Linked DNA regions of Schizosaccharomyces pombe. The main gene of each other region encodes a partner of the protein of the gene in region 2 in a complex. Each region holds a gene or a part of one and is shown on either strand. Other genes may lie near its edges.

Region 1 (7,168 bases), on a different chromosome or scaffold from region 2:
CTTCTTTTCAGAACCCAGACATTGGTCATTTTAACTTAACTGTTTATCAATAATTATTCTTTATATTTAAAAAGTTTCCTTAAAGAAGATTTATTAGTATCTAAAAGCACATAACGATCGGTGATAACTGGCTTACCAGCCGAACGCTGAATAAACTAGCAGTAAAGTATTTAATAAACTAAAGTGTTTAATAAACTACTAGTTTACTACATCGTTTAGAATTACAGATAATATACTTAAACTTTCTTTTCCCTCAAACGAAAATTACAATTGGAAAGTTTACGAATAGAAGACTCTGTCTAATTGATTCCACTTGTTCCTTTGACTAGAGTAAAGAATTATTTTATTGAAAAGTTGTTAATCCATTGCCTTACAAACCATCCATCACCGTTTTTTGGATTACAAAAAAAAGTGAGAACTCGTATTAATGAAATTCAAAAGGTTATCAATGCCAAACTCAAGAATAGTTGAGGAAATGTGTTTTCAACAGTCTTTGAATATAAACTATTACAAACAAACTTTTTTTTTTCAATGCGCTTCTCGTAGATACATTGAATCAAGAATGCATCTAAACTTAGTAAAGACAACCAGTTGAATATGTCTTTTATATAAATATAAAAGTTCTTTAACACTTGTTCATGAAAATGAACAAGATGTGGTACTAATTTGTGAATTGTATTTCATTTTTTGTCTGTTGTGGGATGTCCTCCATTCCGATTCGTACCTGGTCAATACAAGAATTGCGCTGTAACGAAAGTACTCATCTAGTACCTAGAATGAGAAAAGCCGCTTTAAATTAATTACAAGTATTTTCCAAATATGTTAATATAAAAAGAAGCAAATCATCAACAAAAAAAGATGAGCCTACAGCACCCCGGATTCCCATGTTGTCTCCAACCATAGTACTAACGAGGCCCTCAGACGCTTAACTGCAGTGATCGGACGGGAACTGGTGTTTTCGCCTAGGTATGGCCGTAGACGTTTAAATAGTATATTTATAACATGTATAAGCAATAAGTTTTTGAAGGCAAAGATAGAAAGCATTTAGGGAAACTGATGTATTCAATCAAACTGATAAAATTAAAAACTGTTGAAGGCATATTTCAGTATGCTGTCTAGTAAAAACAATTGAAAACAATAAAACGTACAAAACTTAAATCAGGCCGCGATGAACTGGTATGTATATAATTGCCAGATATTTGCGCAACGGTATTCTTGACAGTGCTATGAAAGCATCAAAAACAGAAAGGGGAAACTTAGTCATGCAGTTTGACGAAGTTTCATTTTTACTTTGGTTGAACGGCACGAGATTCCTCATTTTTAAAACGAAGGTAATATTAACTGTTGATCCTACAGCGATTCTTCCATTTTATTAATCAAGATGTCCTTGAAATCAGCAATCAACTAGTAACGGCAGAATTTGAGTATGTATATTCGATGAATTGTGAGAAACCCTATTTACAAGAATATGCATTAATAAGTATCTTAGTATACTCATTTTGTAGCTTTCAATGCTTATTAGAAAGGCCGATCTGTGATCGAAAAATATAAAAACTGCTCCGGCAGTGACTCGAACACTGGACCTCCTGTTTACGAGACAGGCGCTCTACCACTGAGCTACAAGAGCTACTGTTAGTTTGCACCATTATAGAAATATATAAAATAAAAATACTGTGTTTTTCATATTTTAACATTAACAAATTTAACATTTATCTCGAAAAACAGTTTTACGATTCTCATAATAAACCTTAGGTTTCTTATATCTAAAAATCTAAAAAAATATATATATATATATATATTTTCTTTTTAATCCACATCAATCTGTAATATCTGTTGAATGAAAAATTCCCGGTTGTTTATGAAAGCCTCCCCCAAAAAATAATCAATTTATTATAATAAGTGAGATCTGAATAACCGAATTTATTCATAAAATCTTCAACTAATTAATGAGCCTTTTTTGATGCATAATATCTACAGTACAATCCATATTTTTTGTAATATAAGCCCCTTTAGACAAAAAAGGGACGCAATCATTAAAAGATTATATACGATATTCGAGGTGATTTTTTTGATACTTATACAGAAATACCAAGGATAAGGACAAAAACGTTGTACTAGGAATAAAATGAGTAAAGCTGTATACGTTTTGTCAGAATATCGTAGAGCTAAGTAAAGTTGCAATTGTGATGACTTATCAATGTATAATTATAAAAATTAATCTTCCCGTTCATTTATTTTTAATAGTTTTTTTCCCCAAAATTTTGTCATTAGCTGAGACTTGCAAGTGCCGGTTTAGCGCTTTGTCGAACCGCACTTTGCATCGTGTTATAAATATGTTCTGATCCAGCGATCGCCATATTCATTACTGACTCCAAATAATCCAAATGCATACTAGTTTCCAGCTGCATATATACGACCTTTTTTATGTTCCCCAAAACAGCAACCGTCAACCATGAAAGAGCTGACTCCTCTAGTGAGTTTAAATCCAACAGCATATCAGACTCAACAATCCCAGCTGTACTACAGCAAACGAAATCTTTAACTGGTATACCAGCATCTATTAAGGCAAGAGTAGTAGCGTTGATACAAGATGCCATTACTGCACCATCATCTTGTAAAACATGCAAGTAGACAGAAATTTGACTTCTGGGATATAATTCTGTTTGAATTATCTCCTCAAATGTATTTTGTAAAGCTAAACATTGCAATTGAATTCTCCTATCCGATTTAAATCTCTTTTTCACATCTATTGTGCTGAAAGAAGCAATGTTTATTTCGACATTCACAAATGTTCTGTCAGCTCTAGCTTTGGACTTTATTACAGGCTCCGAGGGTCCATCGACTATACACAAGACCTTTGTGTTACCCAATTCAATAAACGCCGACCCATTCTCCGAAGGCTCGATTCCAATACGACACTGAAAGTTTCTCATCTCATCCCACCGTCGACCATCTTGCAACAAATATTAGCACACAGAAAGATTAATACATTTTATAAGAATCATAGATGTTTGAATGTAAATTTTAAGTTTCTTTTTCATTTCCCATAAATGAATTGGCTTACCATTTCGAAGACCTTCAAGGGATAAAATCTCAAAGTGTGACTATATGGTTAGTACTCGTATTATCTAGAGATAAATTCTATCTCTTACCATATGAAATTTTTTTTTTCGTGATTGAAAGGATTACAAATATATAATTTTTGGTTCCCTTTGAACACTTTTGTAACTGGGAGTGAGTAGAGAGTACACTTGTTACAGTAAAAACTCCTGCTACTGCATTCGCTACGAAACGAATTGGATTTGATGTCTTTGGGGGCACTAATCGATAATGAATTAGATAAATTTATTTCATTTTATTTAAGGATAAAGATTTTTATATCTCGTTTAGTGTGTCGGAAATTTAGTTTACAATATATTATTAATTAAGCGTTCAAAATTATTGAAGCCATAGATTTCTTTTTTTCTTCTTGCATTACCATTAATATTTCCTGTTCATGTTATAAAGAATCAAAAATCGAAATGGGTTTAGGGATTGACATTTTAAAAATTTCAAGAATCTCAAGATTAATTCAACGCTCTCCTGAATGGGAAAAGAACTTTTTAAAAAAATGTCTGTGTGAAAATGAAATTAAAAAGTACAACCTGATTAAAAGCAATTCCTCGCTGCCTCGTTTAAGCGAACAGGCTAAATGGCTTGCTGTTAGGTATGCTTGTCTATATTTATGATCGTTTCATAGTTTTAACGGTTATTTTCCTATGTAGATGGTGCGTCAAAGAAGCTGTTTTCAAAGCTTTACAACCGAATTTTCGAGTTTACATGTCTATGATGGAGTATGTTCGAACTCCCACAGGTGTGTCATTTGTTTTCCATGTTCAATGTTTAAAAATAAAAGGTTTGTAAAGTTACTGACTTTGTTATGATTAATATAGGCTACCCTTCCGTTGTTATTCATGATCCCCGATTTCCGCTTTCTCCCGTAATGGTATCTGTAAGCCATGAGGAAGATTTGGTTGTAGCGAATGCTTTGTATCTACCATCTATGCCAAAGACATAGACGAGAGACCAAATTGAAGGTACTATATTATTTAGTGATTCTATTGCTGCTACTCATTACCAGTCGTCTCAATGACCTTTTTTTATGTTATTGAGTTTATACTAACAGGGAATTATCTGGACAAGTCTACCTTGGAGTAAGGGGATGCAAAAAGAAAAAAAAAATAAATCATTCAATGAATCCTAATTACCAACAAAAAAACAACCGCTGCATAAACTTCAATATATTCATTCATTTTATGAAAGAAATATGGATTGACGTAGAAAAAAAAAACGACTGTTGCAAATTAACTAACCTAACAAAAGCATCATTTGAGAAATATTGTAAATTTCAAAATCAAAAACATATCATAATAATATAGCCATAGCCATATTTTTTACTGCTTGTTAAGAGAAGCGGTAAGTTTGGCTTGCTCAATCAAAACACGAGGAGCATCCAAGACAGGCATATGAACTTCAACGAGCTGAATTACATCAGCTTTTCCAAATTCCTCATCTTTAAAGAGATCGAGGAGCTCCTTTTCTGAATGAATGTTATAGGAGCGAGAATTTTTGGCACCATAGCCTTTAAGAAGGTTTTGATAGTCCCATTCAGTGTTGATGTCGTTGTAAACAGCGTGAAGACCGTGAATGAGACGTTCAATTGTATATCCCTTATTGTTAATTACAAATATGATAGGGGTGAGACCGTTACGGATGGTAGCAGAAATTTCCTGAACAGTTAAATGAAGGGAACCGTCACCAACAATCAATATGGAACGACGGTGAGGAGCATCGGAATCCTTGATGCCCAACGTAGCACCAAACATAGCGCCAACCGACCAACCAATTGAGCCCCATAATACCTGTGAGAGATTTTGGCAGCCTTTGGGGAAAATGCAATCCAAAATACCAAAGTTGGAGGTACCTGTCTCGGTAGTCACTACATCGGACTCACGAAGAAAAGAGGCAAACGTAGGCCAGAACCATTTGTGGGTAATGGTTCCTTCGGCGTAACCCTCAGCAGCAACAGCCTTTGGTGGCTCAAAGTGAACAGGACGGGCCTTTGCCTGAACGGACTTTTTGTCAATGGCAGCGGTGAGCTTGGGCAACAAATGTTTCATCGAAATGCCCTCGTAAACGCCAGAACGAATTTTGGTGTAGTCGGAATGAAATTCGATGGTTTGAGATGCAGGGGTAGCATAAGTAAAGGTGCCCGAGTTGAAATCGGAGCGAAGACCACCGATGATGAGAAGCAAGTCAGTAGATTCGGCACGTTCTTTGATGGAAGGCTCGGTCAAGGAGCCAATGTAGACGCCATCAAAGTAGGGGGATGACTCATTGATCGCAGTCTTACCCATGGGAGTAACGTAAGTGGGGAAATGGGTCGCATCAATAAAGTCTTGGGTTTCCTGTTGAATGTGGAAGCGGGAAACACAAGCGTCAACGAGGATAGAAGGGTTCTTGGATTTTTCGATCAATTCGAGAATCTCAGAAACCACCTCGTGCTCAATCTCCTTGTTGTTTTCGGGAACAGGGAAAACCAATGGAGTCTTCAAGGGAGAAGCATCCGTGTAGAAGTAGCCGGCGTCCGAAGGAACGGCCAGATAAACGGGTCTTGAAGTGCGAACGCACGTTTCCAACAGGTTGTCGATGAGACGACCGGCAGAGTCACCGCTATCCAGGAAGGCGACATCGGCAGACAACTCGGAGGACATACGCTGGAAGACTTTAAAGTCACCATTTCCCAGTGTGTGATGAAGAAGGGGACGAGTGGCTTGAGCCTTGGTGTTGGGAACACCGACAATGTGAACGACAGGAATACGTTCAGAGTATGCGCCGGCGAAACCGTTGAGTGCGGAAAGTTCACCGACGCCAAAAGTGGTGACGATGGCAGAAATGCCCTTAACACGAGCATAAGCATCAGCGGCATAAGCACCGTTTAGCTCGTTTTCATTACCGACCCAGCGAAACGTTTCGTCGCCCACTTTCTCAATCAAATCGAGCAAAGCCAAGTTAAAGTCGCCGGGTACACCGAGGATGGATTTGATGCCCAATTGCAGCAAACGGGTGAAAAGGTATTCACCAACGAGGACTTTTTCGGAAGACATGATACAGGAGTACAACAAAACACGCTACTTAAACAAGACAAGCAAGCAAGTAAGAAGAGCAAAAGGATAGAATGAAAAAGAGAAGGAGAAGAGAAGAGAATAGAGGTGAAAAGAAGAGAAAAGATTGGTCAAAGGAAATGAAAAAGCTCAACAAAGAAAGAGGAGGAATGATACAAGGATCTCAAAAGCAAGTCAAACAAACAAATTTGGGTTTATTAAAAAAAAAAAAAAAAAAGTATAGTATAGTATAGTATAGTATAGTATAGTATAGTATGTGATAAACAAAGGAAATATACAGAGCACAGTAAGATGAATTAATTCCTTTGATATAGATGAGAGAGAGGTTTTAAGTTTGTTTCTTTCTTAACTAAAAAGAATAATAAAAATATGTATGAAACGTGAAAAATTGTTTTAAAGACGAATGAAATGACAGCAACCGCCTCTCCTTTTATAATCTGTGTGACAAGGCCTACAGCATTGACTTTGCAGCATGATTCATCTTTGATCGGTGTATCAATACGCACAACCGATTTGGTCAAGTAAAATCACAGAGGCAAAACTTCGGCTTACTTGATCAGCTTCCTATTTCCATGCAAGAATACCATTGCACTTTGATTAAATTAGCTTGCATTAAAGTTCAGGCTACAAAAACATATTCGGACAACAATGACAAGTATCCGACCAATTACTAAATTCAATGTGCGAACCTCTCCACTCTCGGGTAAGAAGAGTGCATACAAAGCCTTTAGACTTTGTTGTCATGCGCTTCCCTGATACGTAAGTAAATGACAATTAAGATGGAAGGGATTGCGAATGTCGCTTACGTGGCGATGGGCTTGGATGGATGGGCAAGCGGTCAGTCGCTGTTTGTTTATTACGGGAGGGGAGGAGGGATGGAGAGTAAACAACGTAGTATTGTAATGTTTGTGTGAAGGAATGGAAGTGTTTGTGTGTGTGTATTGTGAGTATATGGATATTGTGAGTAAATGAATGTGTTGTAATAATATGAATGTGCGTGTGTG
Region 2 (8,646 bases):
TTGAGATTTACGAGAGAAGCTGTGAAACAAAAACTTGCCTTCTAGACAAGGTCGCTTTGTTTTAAAAAAACAAAAAAAATCCTCTGCACAGTCCCTTCACTCTATCGATAGTGCATGATTTTTCTTTTTCTTTTTTAGCTATCGATAATTATTTTGCATTTAAAAGATGAGAAAATATAAATATAAAAACAAATTAAAATATTATCAATCCCGGTTTGAGTCAATAAGAGAACTTTCATTTATCTATTTATTTTAATTTCAATTAATTAAGGAACTTACATCAATTTACCATGCTCTATAGAAATAAATATGTAGTTTACAATGCGAATGATGGGTTCAAAAATCAAAAAATATCTAAATTTCTAACTTTTTTTTACAAACAAAATATTAATTTTAAATTTTGTTATACATTCGGCGCATCTATTCATTAAACCGTCCTGACTATGAAAGCTTAAGAAATAGTTATTACATGGACTTCTTCAATGCAACATACATCAAAATTATATAATTACTTATCTAAAGAGGTTCTTCTTAATTCTCTAGTATAATTAACTACTGGTATGGTGTTTGATTTTTTTTAATGAACTTTCTGGTCCTCGATTTACTACCTTTCATTATACCAACATTTGTTAGCATAAACAATAAAGCCATCTCGACCTTAACACCTTACACGCGAATTTTACACTGCAGTCATTTTTAAAAAAGGGAGATATAATTAGAAGGTGTGCAATATCCAAGTAATAAATGTCATCTCTTAAAAGAAATGCGCGTCCTATGTGTTGCTGAAAAAAACTCGATTGCCAAATCGGTAGCAAGCATTCTAGGGGGTGGACACGTGAGAAGGGTTTGTTAAAAAATTTAATCTTTTCTGAAATTTACTAATCTCTTAAGAGAGATACACGAAGTAAGTATGTAAAAAATTACGACTTCTCATTTAATTTTGGAGGCAATGTTGGATCTTCTGATGTTACAATGACTTCTGTATCCGGTCACTTAACAGAAGCTTCTTTTCCTTCTGAATATTCTAGTTGGAGCTCTGTCCCTCAAGACGTTTTATTCGATGCTCAAATCATCACCTCAGTATCAAAGAATGCAGAAGTACTAGCAGACAATATTAAAAAAGAAGCTAGAAATGCCCAGTACCTTTATATTTGGACCGATTGTGATCGTGAGGGTGAACACATTGGGGTGGAAATCTCCAATGTAGCTAGAGCCAGCAATCCATCTATTCAGGTTATCCGAGCAGACTTCAATAATTTGGAACGGTCGTAAGTTATAAACATCTTAGCGTTTTAAAAAGCAGATATTTATTTATTACAGAAAAAACCCTTCAAGATAAATGCTAACTAATTTTCAGACATATTATCAGTGCCGCGAAACGTCCAAGAGATGTTTCAAAAAATGCTGCAGATGCTGTGGATGCTAGAATTGAACTTGATTTTCGTTTAGGTGCAATATTCACTCGGCTACAAACTATTCAATTACAAAAATCATTCGATATTCTTCAGAATAAAATAATAAGTTATGGTCCCTGCCAATTCCCTACATTAGGCTTTGTAGTTGATCGGTGGCAGCGAGTAGAAGACTTTGTGCCTGAAACCTACTGGCACCTTCGATTTGTTGATAAAAGACAGGGTAAGACTATTCAGTTCAATTGGGAAAGGGCCAAAGTTTTTGACAGATTAACTACAATGATCATCTTGGAAAACTGTTTAGAATGCAAAACTGCTAAGGTCGTTAACATAACTCAAAAACCAAAAACCAAGTATAAACCTCTGCCATTATCAACTGTAGAACTTACAAAACTGGGGCCAAAACATCTAAGAATTTCTGCTAAGAAAACTTTAGAGGTACGATTTGATTATAAGTGAATTTGCAACTTTAACATCATTTTCATCAGCTCGCCGAAAACTTATATACTAATGGGTTTGTTTCTTACCCACGTACTGAAACCGACCAATTTGACTCTTCAATGAATTTGCATGCGATTATCCAAAAACTAACAGGTGCACAAGAATGGGACTCTTATGCAGAAGGGTAAATATAATTTTTCTTATAGTGGCTTCCGTAATAACTAATGTTAGGCTTTTGGCTGGAGATTATCGACCGCCCCGAAAAGGTAAACACAATGATCGCGCTCATCCACCTATTCATCCCGTTCAAATGGTTCACCGGTCAGCGCTTCCTTCCCAAGATCATTGGAAAGTATATGAGCTAATTACAAGAAGATTTTTAGCTTGTTGTTCTGACAATGCCAAAGGAGCCGAAACGTTGGTGCAGGTTAAAATGGAAGAAGAGCTTTTTTCTAAAAAGGGATTGCTAGTGACAGAGAAAAATTATTTAGAGGTTTATCCATATGAGAAATGGGAAAGTTCGGATCAATTACCAGAGTATAGACTTCACGAGGAATTCCAACCCCACATTCTCGACATGATGGACAGTTCAACGTCCTCCCCTTCCTATATCACTGAACCGGAGTTAATTGCCTTGATGGATGCCAATGGAATCGGGACAGATGCTACTATGGCAGAGCACATCGAAAAAGTTCAGGAGAGAGAATATGTCATAAAACGAAAAAAAAGGGGCCAAGGTGTAACTGAATTTGTACCAAGCTCTTTAGGAGTTGCTTTGGCAAAAGGCTATGATGAAATTGGTTTAGAGTGGAGTTTGACCAAGCCTTTCTTGCGAAAAGAAATGGAAGTTCAACTTAAAAACATAGAAAATGGCCAACTTAATCGGAATGTTCTAGTTCATATGATCCTTACCCAATTCCGTGATGTTTTTCATCTCACAAAGCAAAGATTCGATTGTTTAAAAAATGTAAGTCAAATTATCATTGTTTCCTACTTTTCCAATTTTCAAAATCCCATACTTTATTTATTAATCTTTTCATTTTATGGTTGCTAACAAATATAACGCAGAGTTGCAGAGTCTACCTTATGAGTCATAATGAACCGCAAACCTAGATAACCAGACCGCTCGTATACTTTTATTAACTTATTACCTTTCGTTTTTAAGCGTCGCATTAAGACCTTCATTTTTTTGGATAGCATCAGCCTTAAAAACATAAAACATCTTGAGTTGGATCCGTTAAGCAAGTCGACTTAATATCGTCAATGTCAGAAAAGACTAGCACAGTTACAATACACTATGGAAATCAGCGATTTCCGGTAGCAGTCAATCTAAATGAGACGTTAAGTGAACTGATTGATGATTTACTTGAAACGACTGAGATTTCTGAGAAGAAAGTCAAGCTTTTTTACGCTGGCAAGCGTTTAAAAGACAAAAAAGCCTCGTTATCAAAATTGGGTTTAAAAAATCATAGTAAAATTCTATGTATAAGACCACATAAGCAACAACGAGGTTCCAAGGAAAAAGACACGGTTGAGCCCGCTCCGAAAGCGGAAGCGGAGAATCCTGTATTTTCGCGTATTTCTGGAGAAATAAAAGCCATCGATCAGTATGTTGACAAAGAACTTTCCCCCATGTACGACAATTACGTAAATAAACCGTCGAACGATCCAAAGCAGAAAAACAAACAGAAACTAATGATAAGTGAACTACTTTTACAACAGCTTTTAAAATTGGATGGAGTTGACGTACTGGGCAGCGAGAAATTGCGTTTTGAACGGAAGCAACTTGTTTCTAAGATCCAAAAAATGTTGGATCACGTTGACCAAACAAGCCAAGAAGTGGCCGCATAGGCTTTATTATTTTTATAGACGTTACCATTTCATTTCCCTTAAATTATTCCCATCTACTATACTTGCTATATGACTTTGACCTAAACGAAATACAATGACCAACCATAGTAACCAAAAATACCGATGCATGCCTCTTCATGTAACAAAATTGATCCTGATTCCGTAACCCAAGTATTGCATTTATATATATATATAGAGAGAAAGATGCTATTATATAGGAAATGGAGACCAACCCAACCCAATTCATTTATGGAAGAATATCAAAAAATCCTAAACCCTTAAAAGATAGAATATCGCTGCTGGCGTTCAAAAGCTTAGTACCAACGGTAGACGCAGTCTCTAACAATTCTATATATCGCTCTACAGTTATTGCACGTCCAGTGGATGCGTAGCCTCCTCCAGTACCCACGACCCTGGTATAGCTAATAGCACCACTAGCTTGAACACCAATCGCATATGTCACTTGAGCGACACTTGATTCCTCAATTGTAGGATCAACAATTATCACTTGATCAATGCTACTAACCAAAATTATGACTGACATTAATTCTAACCCTTGCAAAGGTAATGCATTTTCCCATTCTGAATCAACATCGTATTCTTCGGAAGGCTCATATTTAGTAGATCCAATAGTGATGTCTGTGACATTGGGGGTAGAAATTTTAGGTAAACGTGTAGTCTGTAATGCTAAATAAGCAGCAAGACTTAAAGCTGAAAGAATGTTTTCGTAAGGAGACGAAGAAAGTATTACAACAGCATCTACGTGAATAATCCAAGCTTTAGATGGTGTAAATTTCAAATAGTCGACAGCAAGTGCGTTTAATAAATCCTGAAGGGCACTTGTAAGGAATGAAGGAATTTCATCGGTTTCACGATTCTGGATTGAAACAGATGGAGAACTACATAAAAAGTGTTAGCATACCAGCTTTTTTCAATTGATTCATATTGTTTGTTACGCCAAACAATGTTAATACGAACTCCAAATATCTCACGTACATTTCAACTGAAGCGACATATTTACCACCTTCGGGAGTAGCATCACCCACTTCTGCTTTTACACCTATGACTATCTCCACCGAAGACGCCCATTTAACTCTAGCAGAACCATTTGTACCAGGCAGAACATCTACTTGTCCAGAAAGCGGACGAAGCTGGTCTATCGAACGTCCATCATTCCGAATTGCAGGCTCAAATTCTGTTATTGATTTGTGTGTGTACGATAGTTCTGGTAATGACAATTGCATATGTTGGCTAATGGTATATCGTTTAAGAATAATTTTCCTTGCAATATTGCGTTGAGTTCTTGCGTATATTCTAAAGTTCGTTATGTATGCTACGCAGTTTTGTATCTGTTTAACGATATGCAAAACCGCGATAAGTTTTACATGTGATCTGTTATATTATAATACATAGGTATAACGGCTATGAGTCATTGAAAATATTGGTATATGTAGGTATTATTTATGATCTATTTCTGTTATTAGCTTCTGACTAAAGTGAGGAACGAAATTTAGTTTCCTATTTAAATTGTTGAACATATAAACTAAATATTTGTTTCAGATATCAAATGATTTGCCCCAATATCTATCATCTACGAGGCTATGTTTAAATAGAACATGTTCCAAATGTGATACACAACGTAGTAAATTATAGCGTTGTCAGTACTACTGCGACATGTTTTTTTATTAGCTAAGACTTGTTTATTGACACAGCAGAAAAGGCGCATTCTCTAAAAATTTCGCAAGTTTACATCAGTTGAAAATGCTTGGGCAGTTGGTGCTTCATTATAACCTATTCCTTCAAAATTTTGGATGCAAAACCTACGCTGAAATATTATTTACCACTTTGATGCAATTTGGCCGAGTAGCAATAAGATCATATCTGGTGTTCTGTTCGATAGCGTGCCATCTGTAAGTATCCATCCACAAGCAAGTTGGGCCTATTGGATCATGGATTTAAAGACGTTGTCATCGAAATAAAACTATCCAATTTCTTCTTTGATATAGAGCTAGTTCACTCGTTGCCTAGACCTATTTAGTTAAGGCTGTCTGTAAAATTTACCAAACGCATCAATTGTGTCCCTGATAACGTGCGTCGATTTTGGATTGTCAAATATGATTACAGTAGATCTGTTATTAGCTTGCAGTTCTCCTTTGTTCTCATGCGTAGATGTGATAGAATCCTCCCATTGCTATAGCTTCTAACTGAATTTAGGAACGTGATTCGATTATAAATTATTTATAATAATCGATTATTAAGGGATGTAACGGATTGTCAATATAAACAGACAGATCTCACTAGTATTTATACATTTGTGACACATGTTACAAGACGTAGTTCTCCATGATATACTGTACTATTGCAAACACGTTATTGAGATTAGCGTTTGACGCTAATCTGTCCTATAAAAAAACTACAAAAACTGTAGAACAAACAATAGCTATAAGACAATGTTTGGTACATGATATTTCATATTCATGATTTGAGATCATTTAGAGACTATGTGCAAAAATAAAAATTCAAAGAATGTATCCATAAGTGAAATTTGATTAAAGATGAGAGATAAAATTTATGGTGATAATCGCAGATTTTTTAAAACCAGGGAAGAACGTTCCAAGATAAAAAAATAAATTCTACCACCGATAAAGCAAGATTAAAAGTTAAATGATTAAAATAAAGAGCAGAAAATCTGTATGTGAAAGTAAAAACCGACAGAAAAGATTTATATACAGTCTAAGGAGTTGGAGATATAGGTTGGTAGCGTTGTTTGCTAAGACCAAATAATCCAAATCTCCTGCACAAATAAATTGAGAATAAAATAATGATAGTTAAAGCAACAGGAATCAAACCCAAATAAAGCCATTTGTAGTTTCCATTACCTAAATCCGGAGAGGGTTTAGGTACCGATGGTAAGCTGGCAAAGTCATTATTAAAGAAAGCAGTAATCAAGGTCTTCATTTCATTAGGATGATCGTATGGAACCATGTGACTAGCTTCAACTATGCGAGCAAAGGTCAGGTTCCGGGAACTAACATAGGAGCCCGATGGTTGATCAGAATAGCCCGGAAGATAAAATGGTTGAGCAGATTGATTTTGAAAACCAACAGCACCATTCCACTCCAGTGATCGGGTTAATTTTTCGCCAGATAAATAATTACAAAGAAAGTCATTTTCGCCGTAAAACAACAAAATAGGAACCGTAGATACAAGGTCCTGGATTAACTTAGATGAGGACTCAATCCCTTCACGAGCATATTGTAGGGCAACGTCGTCATTACATTCTTCCCAATCATGAACCTTTTCGAGGTTAACGTTTAAGGAAGTCATCGCTTCACGAGTCTGACAATGTTAGTAAAAGATATATTATCATATAATTATAAACATACACTTAAAAATTCAGTAAGATAGGAAAGATCGTAAGGCCAGTCCATTCCACAAGTAGGATATGTCGATTCTAAGCTAATGTCATACATGTTCATACATGCTTTCCCAGGTTCCTTTGACACCATGTATAAAATATCGCCAAGAAAACTTTCGCACTTAGATAAATCACCAGATCCGGAACCTATCTTGTCAAAAGCAAGTAAACATTCCGCCCAAGAATGATGTAAATATTGACCCAGCTCTGATTCAAAATCAACCATGCCTTTTTCTACCAAATAATTTAGGTATGTTTCATAATGAGAAAGTGGGTTAATCCATCCATTTCCGATTGCAAGGCCTCCCAAGTTAACAAGATTTTTTTCTTTCAACTTTGCAGCGATATGGGGAATGTATTGACCAGCAAATGATTCTCCGGCGATAAACCATTCATCATTTGCTCTTTCTGGGAACTCCTCCAAGAATTTCTCAAAGAAAATAGAAAAATCATTGGCCATTTTCTCATTGTTAGATTGAAAATCCTTAGCCAGAGAGTATGAATACCCTGTGCCTAGGGGTTGGTCTACGAAAAGCAAATTACCCAATTCGTCCCAGCGTCCAGGGTTCAATTGGAATGTATTATTGTCATCAAGACGGAATGGTCCAACTTCCATCAGCGAGCCGTCTTCTGAAGAGCAGCCAGGACCTCCATTTAACCAAAGAATCTTTTATCAAATTAGTAATTTGTATAATATATAATTTAATTTAAAAACATTCACTTGAAATACTTACAGAACGATGTTCGTATTCGGGTTTTACGGATTCAAACATCCAGAAAAACAAATCACCATCCAGCTGATCCGTTTGATTTAAGTGTCCAGCATGCATTCTTCCCTCATAATCAACAGGCTCATTAGGAAATGCTTTTACAAGATATTGTTCATGAATTCTAGAATCAGCAAGTGTGTTGCCAATAACACCTGCAGTTAAAAGGACTATTTTCAGTAACTTCGAAATCATGCTCTCACAATCAAATCGACAGTTTTCTATATGATCCCCAGATTGAATACAAAGGAATGGGGTCCGCAATTCGGATGATATTAGTCTGCTACTTTTTATCTATTCACAAATTGTTGGATTATTGTATTTCGCTATTTTATATAGCGAAACGTAACACAATTGTGCTTAATATCCCATCTAAGACATTAAGCTTAAGTAAACATGATATATAAATTTTAAATATACTACAGTTCAATCGCTAATACGATTTTTATAGATCCATAACTAACTGATATATAAGACCTAAGCTAAAGAAAAATATCCCATATGGAAAAGGAGTGAGAATAAACAACAAACGTAAAAAAAAAGAACAATAATGCTTTTTTTTGCAAAGGCACGTTGAAAAACAAAGAGAAAGGGAATATACAAAAATGGGGTCTGAACGGATATATGTTCTAGGATATAATGTAGCTTGGAAATAAAAACCTTAGGGTTGCTGACTAATAGTAGAAAAGTTACTTAGCTCTCTCAGTGCTGCCCCAGAAGAGATACTCTGTTGAGCAATTTTGACACCCTCTCTAAG

The links. Proteins that work in one complex are often made in the same cells at the same time.
Region 1: rrp42 (region 2) and rrp41 share a complex: the UniProt entries of both Schizosaccharomyces pombe proteins name them as parts of the RNA exosome complex.

The regions. Positions count from the first base shown.
Region 1 is NC_003424.3:3,159,208-3,166,375, reverse strand, and holds rrp41 (exosome 3'-5' phosphorolytic exoribonuclease Rrp41), read right to left. Parts: upstream 3,250-7,168; 5' UTR 3,156-3,249; coding exon 3,153-3,155; exon of another isoform or gene 3,105-3,152; coding exon 3,065-3,104; exon of another isoform or gene 2,954-3,064; coding exon 2,268-2,953; 3' UTR 2,022-2,267; downstream 1-2,021. Other genes in the region: ppt2 (holo-[acyl-carrier-protein] synthase new8), read left to right, coding at 3,522-3,706, 3,765-3,853, 3,933-4,057; pdc201 (pyruvate decarboxylase), read right to left, coding at 4,434-6,146. UniProt on the Schizosaccharomyces pombe protein: Non-catalytic component of the RNA exosome complex which has 3'->5' exoribonuclease activity and participates in a multitude of cellular RNA processing and degradation events.
Region 2 is NC_003423.3:4,228,255-4,236,900, reverse strand, and holds rrp42 (exosome subunit Rrp42), read right to left. Parts: upstream 4,961-8,646; 5' UTR 4,949-4,960; coding exon 4,701-4,948; exon of another isoform or gene 4,635-4,700; intron 4,604-4,634; coding exon 3,952-4,603; 3' UTR 3,705-3,951; coding exon of another isoform or gene 3,117-3,704; 3' UTR 2,967-3,116; coding exon of another isoform or gene 2,922-2,966; 3' UTR 2,821-2,921; downstream 1-2,820. Other genes in the region: top3 (DNA topoisomerase III), read left to right, coding at 764-844, 892-1,268, 1,358-1,850, 1,901-2,037, 2,085-2,820, 2,922-2,966; BAG family molecular chaperone regulator Bag101, read left to right, coding at 3,117-3,704; kex1 (serine carboxypeptidase), read right to left, coding at 6,438-7,043, 7,091-7,789, 7,857-8,084; phosphoribosylanthranilate transferase Trp4, read right to left, coding at 8,551-8,646. UniProt on the Schizosaccharomyces pombe protein: Non-catalytic component of the RNA exosome complex which has 3'->5' exoribonuclease activity and participates in a multitude of cellular RNA processing and degradation events.